Linked DNA regions of Xenopus tropicalis. Each later gene encodes a partner of the first gene's protein in a complex. Links are inferred from orthologs where the notes say so. Each region holds a gene or a part of one and is shown on either strand. Other genes may lie near its edges.

The links.
Region 2: the proteins of arl1 (region 1) and arfip2 are in contact, whole or in part, in a crystal structure (PDB 4DCN), measured with the Homo sapiens proteins. The link is inferred for Xenopus tropicalis from reciprocal best matches to the Homo sapiens genes ARL1 and ARFIP2. Residues at the interface, in NP_001168.1 of Homo sapiens: Glu17, Arg19, Gln38, Ile46, Ile49, Gly50, Phe51, Asn52, Val53, Glu54, Thr55, Gln64, Trp66, Ile74, Tyr77, Cys80, Tyr81; in NP_001363487.1 of Homo sapiens: Phe205, Thr212, Lys216, Thr217, Asp220, Asp278, Ile281, Lys282, Phe285, Leu286, Glu288, Asn289, Lys292.
Region 3: the proteins of arl1 (region 1) and golga4 are in contact, whole or in part, in a crystal structure (PDB 1UPT), measured with the Homo sapiens proteins. The link is inferred for Xenopus tropicalis from reciprocal best matches to the Homo sapiens genes ARL1 and GOLGA4. Residues at the interface, in NP_001168.1 of Homo sapiens: Ile49, Gly50, Phe51, Gln64, Trp66, Ser73, Ile74, Pro76, Tyr77, Cys80, Tyr81, Ser83, Glu115; in NP_002069.2 of Homo sapiens: Thr2173, Glu2174, Glu2176, Tyr2177, Lys2180, Val2181, Glu2184, Glu2190, Thr2193, Lys2196, Val2197, Thr2200, Val2201.

The regions. Positions count from the first base shown.
Region 1 is NC_030679.2:48,817,190-48,821,335, reverse strand, and holds the start of arl1 (ADP-ribosylation factor-like protein 1), read left to right. Parts: upstream 1-1,317; 5' UTR 1,318-1,660; coding exon 1,661-1,664; intron 1,665-4,146. UniProt on the Homo sapiens protein: GTP-binding protein that recruits several effectors, such as golgins, arfaptins and Arf-GEFs to the trans-Golgi network, and modulates their functions at the Golgi complex.
Region 2 is NC_030678.2:180,359,134-180,363,381, reverse strand, and holds the start of arfip2 (arfaptin-2), read left to right. Parts: upstream 1-1,357; 5' UTR 1,358-1,457; coding exon 1,458-1,459; intron 1,460-4,248. UniProt on the Homo sapiens protein: Plays a role in constitutive metalloproteinase (MMP) secretion from the trans Golgi network. May have important functions during vesicle biogenesis at certain cargo subdomains, which could be predominantly utilized by secreted MMPs, such as MMP7 and MMP2.
Region 3 is NC_030682.2:60,987,826-60,991,420, forward strand, and holds part of golga4 (golgin subfamily A member 4), read left to right. Parts: intron 1-179; coding exon 180-3,595. UniProt on the Homo sapiens protein: Involved in vesicular trafficking at the Golgi apparatus level. May play a role in delivery of transport vesicles containing GPI-linked proteins from the trans-Golgi network through its interaction with MACF1. Involved in endosome-to-Golgi trafficking.

The DNA.
Region 1 (4,146 bases):
ACATTTTTATTTTTTAGTGTTACTGTTCCTTTAAGCCCACTTTTGAGATCTAATATTTGCTCAGTGTCCCCTTAGCTTTAACAAGGTTAAAGTTAATATAAGACGTTGCTAGGGCTTAAAGAAGGAAAGTCATTTTGGCATTTTACTGCCAATTTATTCACCACATTAGTGCCACCTAGAACACTATATTTATTCTGCAGAAAGCTTTATCATATCTGAGTAAAGAGCCCTAGAAGAAATCCTGTGTTTCTTTTCATAAAGGACTCTGTGTATTTACATAGACTTTTCTGATAAAGCTTAATTAGTTTTCACCTTTCCTTCTCCTGTAATTACCCAAAGGAAAGCAAAATTAAAACTATATTTTTTTAGTTGAGAAGACACCTATTTCTACTGTATGCTGCAAATAGGTGGATTGATAACTGAAAAAAACTCACAAAATAATGAAGACCAACTAAAGAGCCATTAGAATATGTCAATCTATAACACACCAAAAGTTAATAAAGTGAACTTTAACTGTGATTATCCTGTCTGTGAGCAGTCTGTGTCCTCTAAGGATCAGTCACCTAATAACCTTGGTGGACTGGACCTGAAAATTGGGTAGAATACTGTTTGTGTCACAAAAGCAGTAGTGTTCAGTGTTCTTAATTCAACTTTATCAGAAACCACAACCAGCTCATCACTTCTCAATACCACTAGATCTCCCATATGCTTTTGACATTGTTGATTACCCCTTCTCCTTCAGGCCCCCCATTATCTGGGTCTTTGCGTATCTGCCCTCTCAAGGTTTTCCTCATATCTTTCAAATCACTCTTTCAGTGTTCCCTAACAATGGACGATCATCTTTCTGTCTGGCTCTTCAATAATGATGAGCAAATTTTCTCACCAGGCATGGATTCCCAGCAAAATTCCGCATTTCTGCAGCCTTGTCAAAAAGGCGTGCTTGCACCAAGAAAGGCGCAAATTTTTCTGCAAAGCAAAACAGGGCAGATTCACTCATCACTACTCTTCCAACACTTTGTCCTAGTCCCCTAGTCCTATTTCTGTATACTCCTTTTGCATCAATTCAAACAATTTATGATATTTACAATATGCTGACATTACTCTAAACTCTCCATTACATGTCTTAACTCGGGTCATATACCGGTATATCTCTAATTGGACATCCCACTGCTACCGTAAAGGAAAACCAAGGGATCACCCATAAGTGAATGCTGCCACGATAGCCAGGGAAATCTGCATTCCCTTTGTTGCTTTATAGACAAGTATTGGATCGTGGGTTAGCAACAGGATATACCAGTCCAGCAAGTAACTGACCGCCTCAACAACCAGCTCTGATTGCACCATAATTACTGCTCAAACGCGCACGGACAACAGATTCATCAAACCACAAACAAAGAGCTGCCTGGCATTTCTACATTTCTCAGTTTGCAAATATACTAAGAAAATATTTTCAGACTACTAATTTTACTCCGTAAGCCTAGCAGAACTGTGTATTTTATTTTACTTTTTCTTATGTCGAATCTTGCGTTCCGAATCATAAGTGCTGTAGCTCTGTGACTGGCTGACAGAGTGACGTGGAGCTTCTGGCAGCGCTTCCGGGTGTGAGACTAAAGCAGCAGGATCAGCAGCAGCTCCTGCGTCGGCCACTCTACCGCTTAAGATGGGTAAGCCTGGGCCTGGGGCTGTACGGCCTGCGGGAGGGGGTTCTTACAAGTTAAGGGTAGGGACGTTGCTCGCACTGTAAATGGGTTGTATATGATATGTTTATAGTTAATGTTTGTATCCATGTATGCCCATAACGCACTAATGGTCATAGGAGTCGTTTGGCGACAGCTGGAGAGTACACAAAGCCCCCACCAGCCCAATAAATAGTGAGTGTCTATGGCATCTTACAGCAGCCCCTCTGGCATTTGCCACAATCCACAGATTGCCGGTCTGGGCCCTGGGTCTTGTGTAGTTGAACATTTATGCAGAGGTTTCCTTATGGCACTTTCCCATGCAAACATGTATGTAAATGTGTTGTACTCAGGCCTGGAATAGAATTTCAACTACACAAAGGCCCAAACAGCCTTCCACCATGTTGTTGAATGCCAGATAATGAAGCCAGTAACCAGCCCAATAAGTAGCGACTGTCTACAGTATCTCACAGCAGCCCCTCTGGCATTTGTCTCAATCCATACATTCCAAGGCCGGGCTTGGCACCCACCAGAAATTGTGTCCAACGCTTTCTGTAAGTCTCGTGCCATCATTACAGGGATAGGTCCTCTTAAAATTAACTTTTATTATGTTGTAGACAGCAGTGTTCTGAGAAAGTTTGTATCTGATCTTATTTTTTTTAACAGCTGCCCATTTTTTCAGGTTTAGTTACCCTAGTAACCAGGCAGCCATTTGGATGCCATAATGGGAAGATCAATAGGATTGAGACTGAAAATTAAGATAAGCAATAGGAATGTAAACCGAATGGAAATGGAACCTGAGGCGGATCAGCCTACATATAAACACAGGCAGCAATCCACCTGCACACTTGAAAAATCTTCTACTTATGCCAGCACCTAGAAGCACTGAATCCACCCGGGTACAGGCACACACAGGCGATATTCACCAACTAACGTGCGACTTTGCAACCCTTGGTGGATATCGGCTGTGTGTGCCTGCACCCGGTGGATTCAGTGCTTCTGGGTGCAGGCACAATTGGAAGATTTTTCAAGCAAATGGGCAGATTATCAGTCTGTGCTTACATGCGCATGGGGCCTTAACCTAACAGTATGTGTTTGTGGTTGCTGGGCATCAGTCACTCTGGCACCCAGAGTATATTTTTAGTTGTATGATGGGAATAGGCAGGCTTATAAATAAGAAAGCATACACAAAAAGTAATAAAGACAAATTTAAACATTATTCAGATTTGGTTTCCTTATAACATACTAAAAATACATATAATTTAAAACTCCCATAGCCATCTTTCTAGCAGTGCTGCCAGATTTCACCCCTGCAGTGGTACTCACCAGATGCTTGGTACTGCCAGCAAGTAAAGATATACAGAATAAATAATCAGTATCAAAGCAGTATTGTGTGTTATAGCCTTTTCTCACATAACTATTATTGGTAAACCTGCAGCTTATTGTATACAGGTATCTACCCCTACAGCCTTTTAGCAACAGCTGGGGGGGGGTCACAGGCTGGATATCATTTATATGTGATACAATTTCATGAAAGTTTCTGACTTTCTTAGGGCTCTTCTCCCTGTGTTCCCCTGTGTGGATCTTTCATGGGTTCCTCAGGGGACTGCTGGAAAAAAGTCAGCTCCTTCTTTCAAATGACTTTGTTCTCACTGAGGCACCTGAATACAAAGTCATTTAAAAGAAGGGGCTGTGTTTTTTCAGCAGTCCCCCTGAGGAACCTATGAAAGATCCACCCAGGGGAATGCAGGAAGAAAAGCCCAAGTGTAAGAACTCAAAGCAGAATGATCATGAAAACAAAAAGTGATGCCTGGGAAAATGGGACCTTAGCAATTTAATTCATTATGGGTGCCTAACCAGTGAATGAGCTTTTCACTGTCCTTTAAAGTGATACTGACATGAAAAAATGACTTTTCAATTTATGAATCTACATAAAAAGTTACCTATAGGTCATGTTGATCTTTTTTCACTGTTAGGGTTGGTTTTGTATGTAATTGTTGCTTGAAGTTCCTAAACCTGACTGTTTTGCCAGCCTGACTGTCCCTTCTCAGCCTGTCAGTTATAGCTTCTAGTGCTAACGGCCTACTGCTGCACAAATATGGCAGCCCCCTCATAGAAGAACATGGGGGATCAGATAAGGAATGGAAAAGCATCAGGAAATACTTTTTTGGCAAAATTATAAAGCTCATGCAAAGACAATGTTATGATAGATGTAAAAAAGTTTTCATTTCTGGTGTCATTATATCTTTAACTCTGTCCGAGGTTCTGGTAACTGTTGCTCTTCAGGATTAAATTGGTCCCGTAGAACTCATTGTAAATGACCAAAGGGGCATTTTTTCCTAAAGCGTTGGCATCTGGCTATATGAGTCAAAAGTATACACAGAGTAATTGCAGGGCAAAGCATTTAATATTAAAAATAGCATTATGATTATATTCATTATCACTAATAAGACATAGTGTGACTTCTTGA
Region 2 (4,248 bases), on another chromosome or scaffold:
CCTACTGCCCTACTCCCTGCTGCCCCCACCCACCCACCCACCCACCCTACTGCCCTAACTCCCTGCTGCCCCACCCACCCACCCACCCACCCTACTGCCCTAACTCCCTGCTGCCCCCACCCACCCACCCACCCACCCTACTGCCCTAACTCCCTGCTGCCCCACCCACCCACCCACCCTACTGGCCCCCACCCACCCTACTGCCCCCACCCACCCACCCTACTGCCCTAACTCCCTGCTGCCCCCACCCACCCACCCACCCTACTGCCCCTAACTCCCTGCTGCCCCCACCCACCCACCCACCCTACTGCCCTAAACTCCCTGCTGCCCCCACCCGCCCGGTACCTGACACACACTCTCACACACACTCTCACACTCTCACACACTCACACTCTCACTCACACACACTCACACACACTCACACACACTCACACACACTCACACACACTCACACACACTCACACACACTCACACTCTCACTCACACACACTCACACACTCACTCACACACACTCACACACACACACTCACACTCACACACACTCTCACACACACACACTCACACACTCACACACACTCACACTCTCACACACACTCACACTCACACACTCACACTCACACTCACACACTCACACACTCACACACACTCACACACACTCACACACTCACACACACTCACACACACTCACACACACTCACACTCTCACTCACACACACTCACACACACTCACACACACTCACACACTCACACACACTCACACTCTCACTCACACACACTCACACACTCACTCACACACACTCACACACACACACTCACACTCACACACACACTCACACACACACACTCACACTCACACACACTCTCACACACACTCACACACTCACACACACTCACACTCTCACACACACTCACACTCACACACTCACACTCACACTCACACACTCACACACTCACACACTCACACACACACTCACACACACACACACACACTCACACACTCACACTCACACTCACACACTCACACACTCACACACTCACACACACACTCACACACTCACACACACACACACACACTCACACACACACACTCACACACACACACTCACACACACACTCACACTCACACACTCACACACACTCACACACACACTCACACTCACACACTCACACTCACACACTCACACACACACACATACTCACACTCACATACTCACACTCACACTCACACAGTACCCCGGTACCTGACACACAGACGCCGCTTCCGGTCACATGGGGGGAAGGTCACAGGGAGATAACGCGAGAGGAGGGGGAGTGGCTCAGGCGGATCATGTGACCTTGCTGGAATCACGTGACCGGGGCAGCTGAGAGAGAGAGAGAGAGGGAGGAGCCGCGGTACCGGGTAACACTGGGGGAACTGGAGGGCACCACGAACCGGAAATACCGGGACCCCGGAGACTATGTAAGGCCCAGGGTATCCCCTGTCCTACCCCCCTGTCCTACCCCCCTGTCCTACCCCCCTGTCCTACCCCCCTGTCCTACCCCCCTGTCCCACCCCCCTGGGGCAATCCCTGTCCTACCCCCCTGTCCTACCCCCCTGTCCTACCCCCCTGTCCTACCCCCCTGGGGCAATCCCTGTCCTACCCCCCTGTCCTACCCCCCTGTCCTACCCCCCTGGGGCAATCCCTGTCCTACCCCCCTGTCCTACCCCCCTGTCCTACCCCCCTGGGGCAATCCCTGTCCTACCCCCCTGTCCCACCCCCCTGTCCCACCCCGGAGACTATGTAAGGCCCAGTGTATCCCCTGTCCCACCCCCTCTGTCCCACCCCCTCTGTCCCACCCCCTCTGTCCCACCCCCTGTCCTACCCCCCTCTGTCCCACCCCCCTGTCCTACCCCTGTCCCACCCCCCCTGTCCTACCCCCCCGTCCCACCCCCCTGTCCTACCCCCCCTGTCCCACCCCCCCTGTCCCACCCCCCCCTGTCCTACCCCCCCCTGTCCTACCCCCCCCTGTTCCACCCCCCTGTCCCACCCCCCTGTCCTACCCCTGTCCCACCCCCCCTGTCCCACCCCCCCTGTCCCACCCCCCCTGTCCCACCCCGGAGACTATGTAAGGCCCAGTGTATCCCCTGTCCCACCCCCTCTGTCCCACCCCCTCTGTCCCACCCCCCTGTCCTACCCCTGTCCCACCCCCCCTGTCCTACCCCCCCGTCCCACCCCCCCTGTCCTACCCCCCCTGTCCTACCCCCCCCTGTTCCACCCCCCTGTCCCACCCCCCTGTCCTACCCCTGTCCCACCCCCCCTGTCCCACCCCCCCTGTCCCACCCCCCCTGTCCCACCCCGGAGACTATGTAAGGCCCAGTGTATCCCCTGTCCCACCCCTCTGTCCCACCCCCTCTGTCCCACCCCCCTGTCCTAACCCCTGTCCCACCCCCCCTGTCCTACCCCCCCCGTCCCACCCCCCCCTGTCCTACCCCCCCCTGTCCTACCCCCCCTGTCCCACCCCCCCTGTTCCACCCCCCTGTCCCACCCCCCTGTCCCACCCCCCTGTCCTACCCCCCCTGTCCTACCCCCCCTGTCCTACCCCCCCCTGTCCTACCCCCCGTCCTACCCCCCGTCCTACCCCCCCGTCCTACCCCCCTGTCCTACCCCCCTGTCCTACCCCCCCTGTCCTACCCCCCCTGTCCTACCCCCCCTGTCCCACCTCCTGTCCTACCCCCCTGTCCTACCCCCTGTCCTACCCCCTGTCCCACCTCCTGTCCTACCCCCTGTCCTACCCCCCCTGTCCTACCCCCCCTGTCCTACCCCCCTGTCCTACCCCCCTGTCCTACCCCCCTGTCCTACCCCCCCGTCCTACCCCCCCGTCCTACCCCCCCGTCCTACCCCCCCGTCCTACCCCCCCTGTCCTACCCCCCCTGTCCTACCCCCCCGTCCTACCCCCCCTGTCCTACCCCCCCTGTCCTACCCCCCTGTCCTACCCCCCTGTCCTACCCCCCCCTGTCCTACCCCCCCTGTCCTACCCCCCCCGTCCTACCCCCCCCCGTCCTACCCCCCCCTGTCCTACCCCCCCTGTCCTACCCCCCCCTGTCCTACCCCCCTGTCCTACCCCCCTGTCCTACCCCCCTGTCCTACCCCCCTTGGGCAATCCCTGTCTGTTACTGTCATTGGTACCTACCCCCACCCCGACAATATCTGCCCGGGGTACCTACCCCCCTAACTATAACTGCCCAGGGTATCTACCCCCCTAACTATAACTGCCCGGGGTACCTACCCCCTAACTATAACTGCCCGGGGTACCTACCCCCTAACTATAACTGCCCAGGGTACCTACCCCCCTAACTATAACTGCCCAGGGTACCCACCCCCCTAACTATAACTGCCCAGGGTACCTACCCCCCTAACTATAACTGCCCAGGGTACCTACCCCCCTAACTATAACTGCCCAGGGTACCTACCCCCCTGCGTGTAATCACTGCCAGTACTAATGAATGGTCTGTGTAATGGCCTGTTACTGTCATTGGTACCTACCCCCCCCCCCCCACCCAAAAAAAAATATCTACCCAGGGTACCTGGGACAGACACAGGGAAAGGGACAGACACAGTGACAGTTACACATAACTATAAACCCAGTGAGAATGAGGAATGAATGGATATTGGGGAGTTGTATCAGGAGTCAGAACCAGCAGTGCAGGGAAGGGAAAGGGACAGACACAGTGACAGTTACACATAACTATAAACCCAGTGAGAATGAGGAATGAATGGATATTGGGGAGTTGTATCAGGAGTCAGAACCAGCAGTGCAGGGAAGGGAAAGGGACAGACACAGTGACAGTTACACATAACTATAAACCCAGTGAGAATGAGGGATGAATGGGTATTGGGGAGTTGTATCAGGAGTCAGAACCAGCAGTGCAGGGAAGGGAAAGGGACAGTGACAGTTACACATAACTATAAACCCAGTGAGAATGAGGGATGAATGGATATTGGGGAGTTGTATCAGGAGTCAGAACCAGCAGTGCAGGGAAGGGAAGGGACAGACACAGTGACAGTTACACATAACTATAAACCCAGTGAGAATGAGGAATGAATGGGTATTGGGGAGTTGTATCAGGAGTCAGAACCAGCAGTGCAGGGAAGGGAAAGGGACAGACACAGTGACAGTTACACATAACTATAAACCCAGTGAGAATGAGGGATGAATGGGTATTGGGGAGTTGTATCAGGAGTCAGAACCAGCAGTGCAGGGAAGGGA
Region 3 (3,595 bases), on another chromosome or scaffold:
GCACAATATTAAGCCCTGTGTGAAGTGTGGATTATTGGATCATTTGGAAATGTAAAACCAAGTGGTCTTTTTAAATTAATAAATAAAATTTCAATTTATTACATTCCTAACAGCAGTTGTTGTCAAAGTTTTAAATGGTTTTCGTTTGATACTAATTTGGATGTTTTCATTGTTGACAGAGGATTCTTGACCTTGAGAGTTCTGTTGCTGAAGAAAGTAAGTCCCAAGATTTTGTAAGCCTGATTGAAACAGAGAGAAATAATCACAATGCAGAAGTAGCTACCATCAAAGAAATGCATAAGCAAGATCTTGATGTCCTTGTACAGGATCAAGAAAGGATATGGTCAGAAAAGCTTGAGCTGCTTAAGAAAGAGAATCATACTAAGATTATTGAACTTAAAGAGAAGTATCAGCGAGATTATGATTCTCACTTGAAAGAGAAAGAGCATAATTTCCAGGAGCATATTGAGCATATGAATGAAAAAACATTAGAAAAACTAGATGTAAAACAAACTGAATTGGAAACCCTCTCAGCTGAACTGTCTGAGGCTATAAAGGCACGGCAAGAGATTGAGCAGAAACTTACAGACACAGAAAATGAGATTAGCAAAATAAAACTAGAGTATGAAGCCCAGATAAAAGAAGAAAGAGAAAAACACAGTGAAGAAATTGGTTCCATTGAAAGAGAGAAGGAAATGCATACTCAGGGTGTTGAGAAAGACTTGAAGGAAAATATTAACAACCTAAAACTACTTCAAGATAGTAAAGAATGTGAGTTGGAAGAATTCAGAAAGGAAAATCAAAAGCTAAAAGAAGCTGCTGAAAAGGCAGAAGCAGACCATAAAGAAGCATTTGCTCTATTGGAAGCAGCCAGGCATTCTCATGAGATAAATACACATGAGAAAGAACAGGCTTATGAGCTAAAATTGAAGGAGCTTCAGGAGATGCTAAAAGGTATGACGCAGGAGCGAAACGATCTTAAAGAGGTGACAGAAAAAGCAGAAACACAGTTAAAGAATATGCAGATCGAGCTGGATTCTAACAAGGCCCAAGTACAAAGCCTTACAAAGCAAATTCATGAGGAAAGTATGAATATGGCAGATAAACTTAACACTTTGGTACTAGAGTCTGAAACTCAGGTAAAAGGGTTGAAGGAACAAATAGAAGAGATAAGCAGAATAGCTTCAGAGCGTGAACATGAACTTAAAAAAGTAAAAGAAGATCATATTCAAATTATTTTAGACCTAAACAATACTATATCTGAAAAAGAGAAGAATATACTTTCTTTGCAAGAAGATTACAAAGTAAAACACAAAAATCTGGATGCTAAAATGGAAAAATTAAAGCAGAAGTTTAAAGAGCTGCAAGAATCATCTAAAAAGAAATATTCAGAGTTGGAAAGCAAACTTAAGAAAGAGATCGAGAAGAAGCAGAACGAGTTGATTAACAAAGAAAGGGAGTTTAATGAAAAAATACATGAGATGGCCCAAGCAAGTTCAACTGGAATTAATCATGCAATGGCTCAGCTTGAACTGAATCATAAAGAGCAGATTCAGAATATGACAGACAATCATCAGAGAGAATTACAGGAAACAACAGAAGCTTGTGAAAAGAAATTAAGCCAACTTGCTGAAGACCTTAGAGAGAAGCACGAAGAAGAACTTCAGGAGAAAGATCAGGTCATAGCAGAATCAAGAAAACAGTTTAATATCAAGAATAAAGAAAAAGAAGATGCAGACAAAGAGATATCAGACCTCAGGGAACTGAAGACCCAAATGGATGCCACGTTTAATGATTTGCAAGAACAGCTGTGTCAGTCAGCAGCTCAAGTTTTACATTTGACACAGAGTGAAAATGAATTCAAGACAAATTGTACTCGGCTAACAACGGAGAAGCAAATTCTTCAACAACAGCTTGATGAACTGAAAATATTAGCAGAGGAAGATAAAAGCAAGAATGATGAAATAGTTAACAAGGTGAGACTTGCTGAAGAAAAGTATCAAGACTTGGAGACCCTGCACAATAAAGTGAGAGCAGACTTTGCTAAGGAACTGCAGGATAAACTTGTTGAAAAGGAAAATGAGTTTAAACACCTTTTGGTTAAACAAGAAAACCAGTTGATCTTGTGCTGCAAAAATGCTGAAGATTTATTTGAAACACTTGCAAATGGACTCACTGAAAACCACAAATATAAGTTGAATGGATTGATTGTTAAAATAGCAAATCTTGAAAGCTGCATGCATAAACTAAAAGAGGTCACTTTAAAACAGCGTAGTAGAATATATGAACAAGAAAAACAACTTGAGCAGTTTTCAAACGAACTTCTTTCAGTAAACCAATCTCTTAATCAAGCAACTCAGGAGAAAGAATTTGCTACTTTGTCGCTAAAGAATGAGATTGAAGCTCTTAATTTTCAAAATGAGATGTTAAAAAAAGAAGGAGGAAGTCAACAGCAGGTTGCAGATGAGAAAGAATCTTGCATTACTCAGCTGAAAAAAGAACTTTCAGAGAATATAAATATTGTGACTTCCTTGACAGAAGTGGTAAAACAGAAAGAATCTGAGGTATCTTCTCTTTCTGCCTTAATTAATGAACTTAAACTGAAACATGAGAATTGTGTAGATTTAACAGAAAAAGAAAATGCAATTGCTTTTCTCACTGCACAGCAGAAACAGAGTCAGCAAGAGCTACAGAATCAAATTCAGGATCTAATGGCAAAGATTGAGGTTCTGAATAAAGAAAAATCTGCACAAATAGATGAGGCTGCTAAACTTAAAAATAAGTTGGATGAATGGAAGAAAAAGGCAGAACTTAAATTTGTGCAGAACCACAACACTATTAAAGAGCTAAAAGAGAAAGTTGAATCAGTCAATAAGCAAATTGTTGAAAAAGATGAAAAACTTAGGACAGTGACAGAAGAATTTGAATGTCATCGTAGCAATATCCAAGAAACACAACTCATGAGTGAAAGCAAAGAATTTGAATTAACTACCCAGTTGGAAGGCCAGAAATCTAAAATTTCGGAATTGGAGGACCAGTGTTCGAAGCTGATGTCTGAAAAGAAAAGTTTGATGGATCAAATCGAAATTCAAACTATTCAGCAGAGTGAAGATAAGAAAGCACTGGTTGAGCAACTCCAGCATATTCAGTATGCTTCTGACAATAACTCCAAGGAAGTGCAAAATAAAGTTATAACACTTGAAAAAGAAATTGATGCTTTAAAGGAGAAACTTGATGCAGAGCAAACAAAATGGCAGCTGGAGAAAGCAGAGTGCTTTCAGCTGAAAGATAAGGAATTAAAAATATTGGAAGAGAAACTAACTGCAGAAAGCACAAATAAACTTTCAGAGCTCAAGAAAAAAGCTGAACAGAAAATCGCTTCTCTTAAGAAACAACTTATGTCTCAGATAGATGAGAAGGAGCAGTCCAGGAAAGCGCTGGAAAGCCAGCTAAATGTCTTAAAAGATAATATGCAGAAAGAGAGCCAGGAAGTGCAGGAAGGATTGCAACAAAAAGTTGAAAATCAAGACAAAAAATATGCATTGCTACTGGAGCAGAAGAAAAATACAGAAGCAGATTTAGCTAATATTAGAAG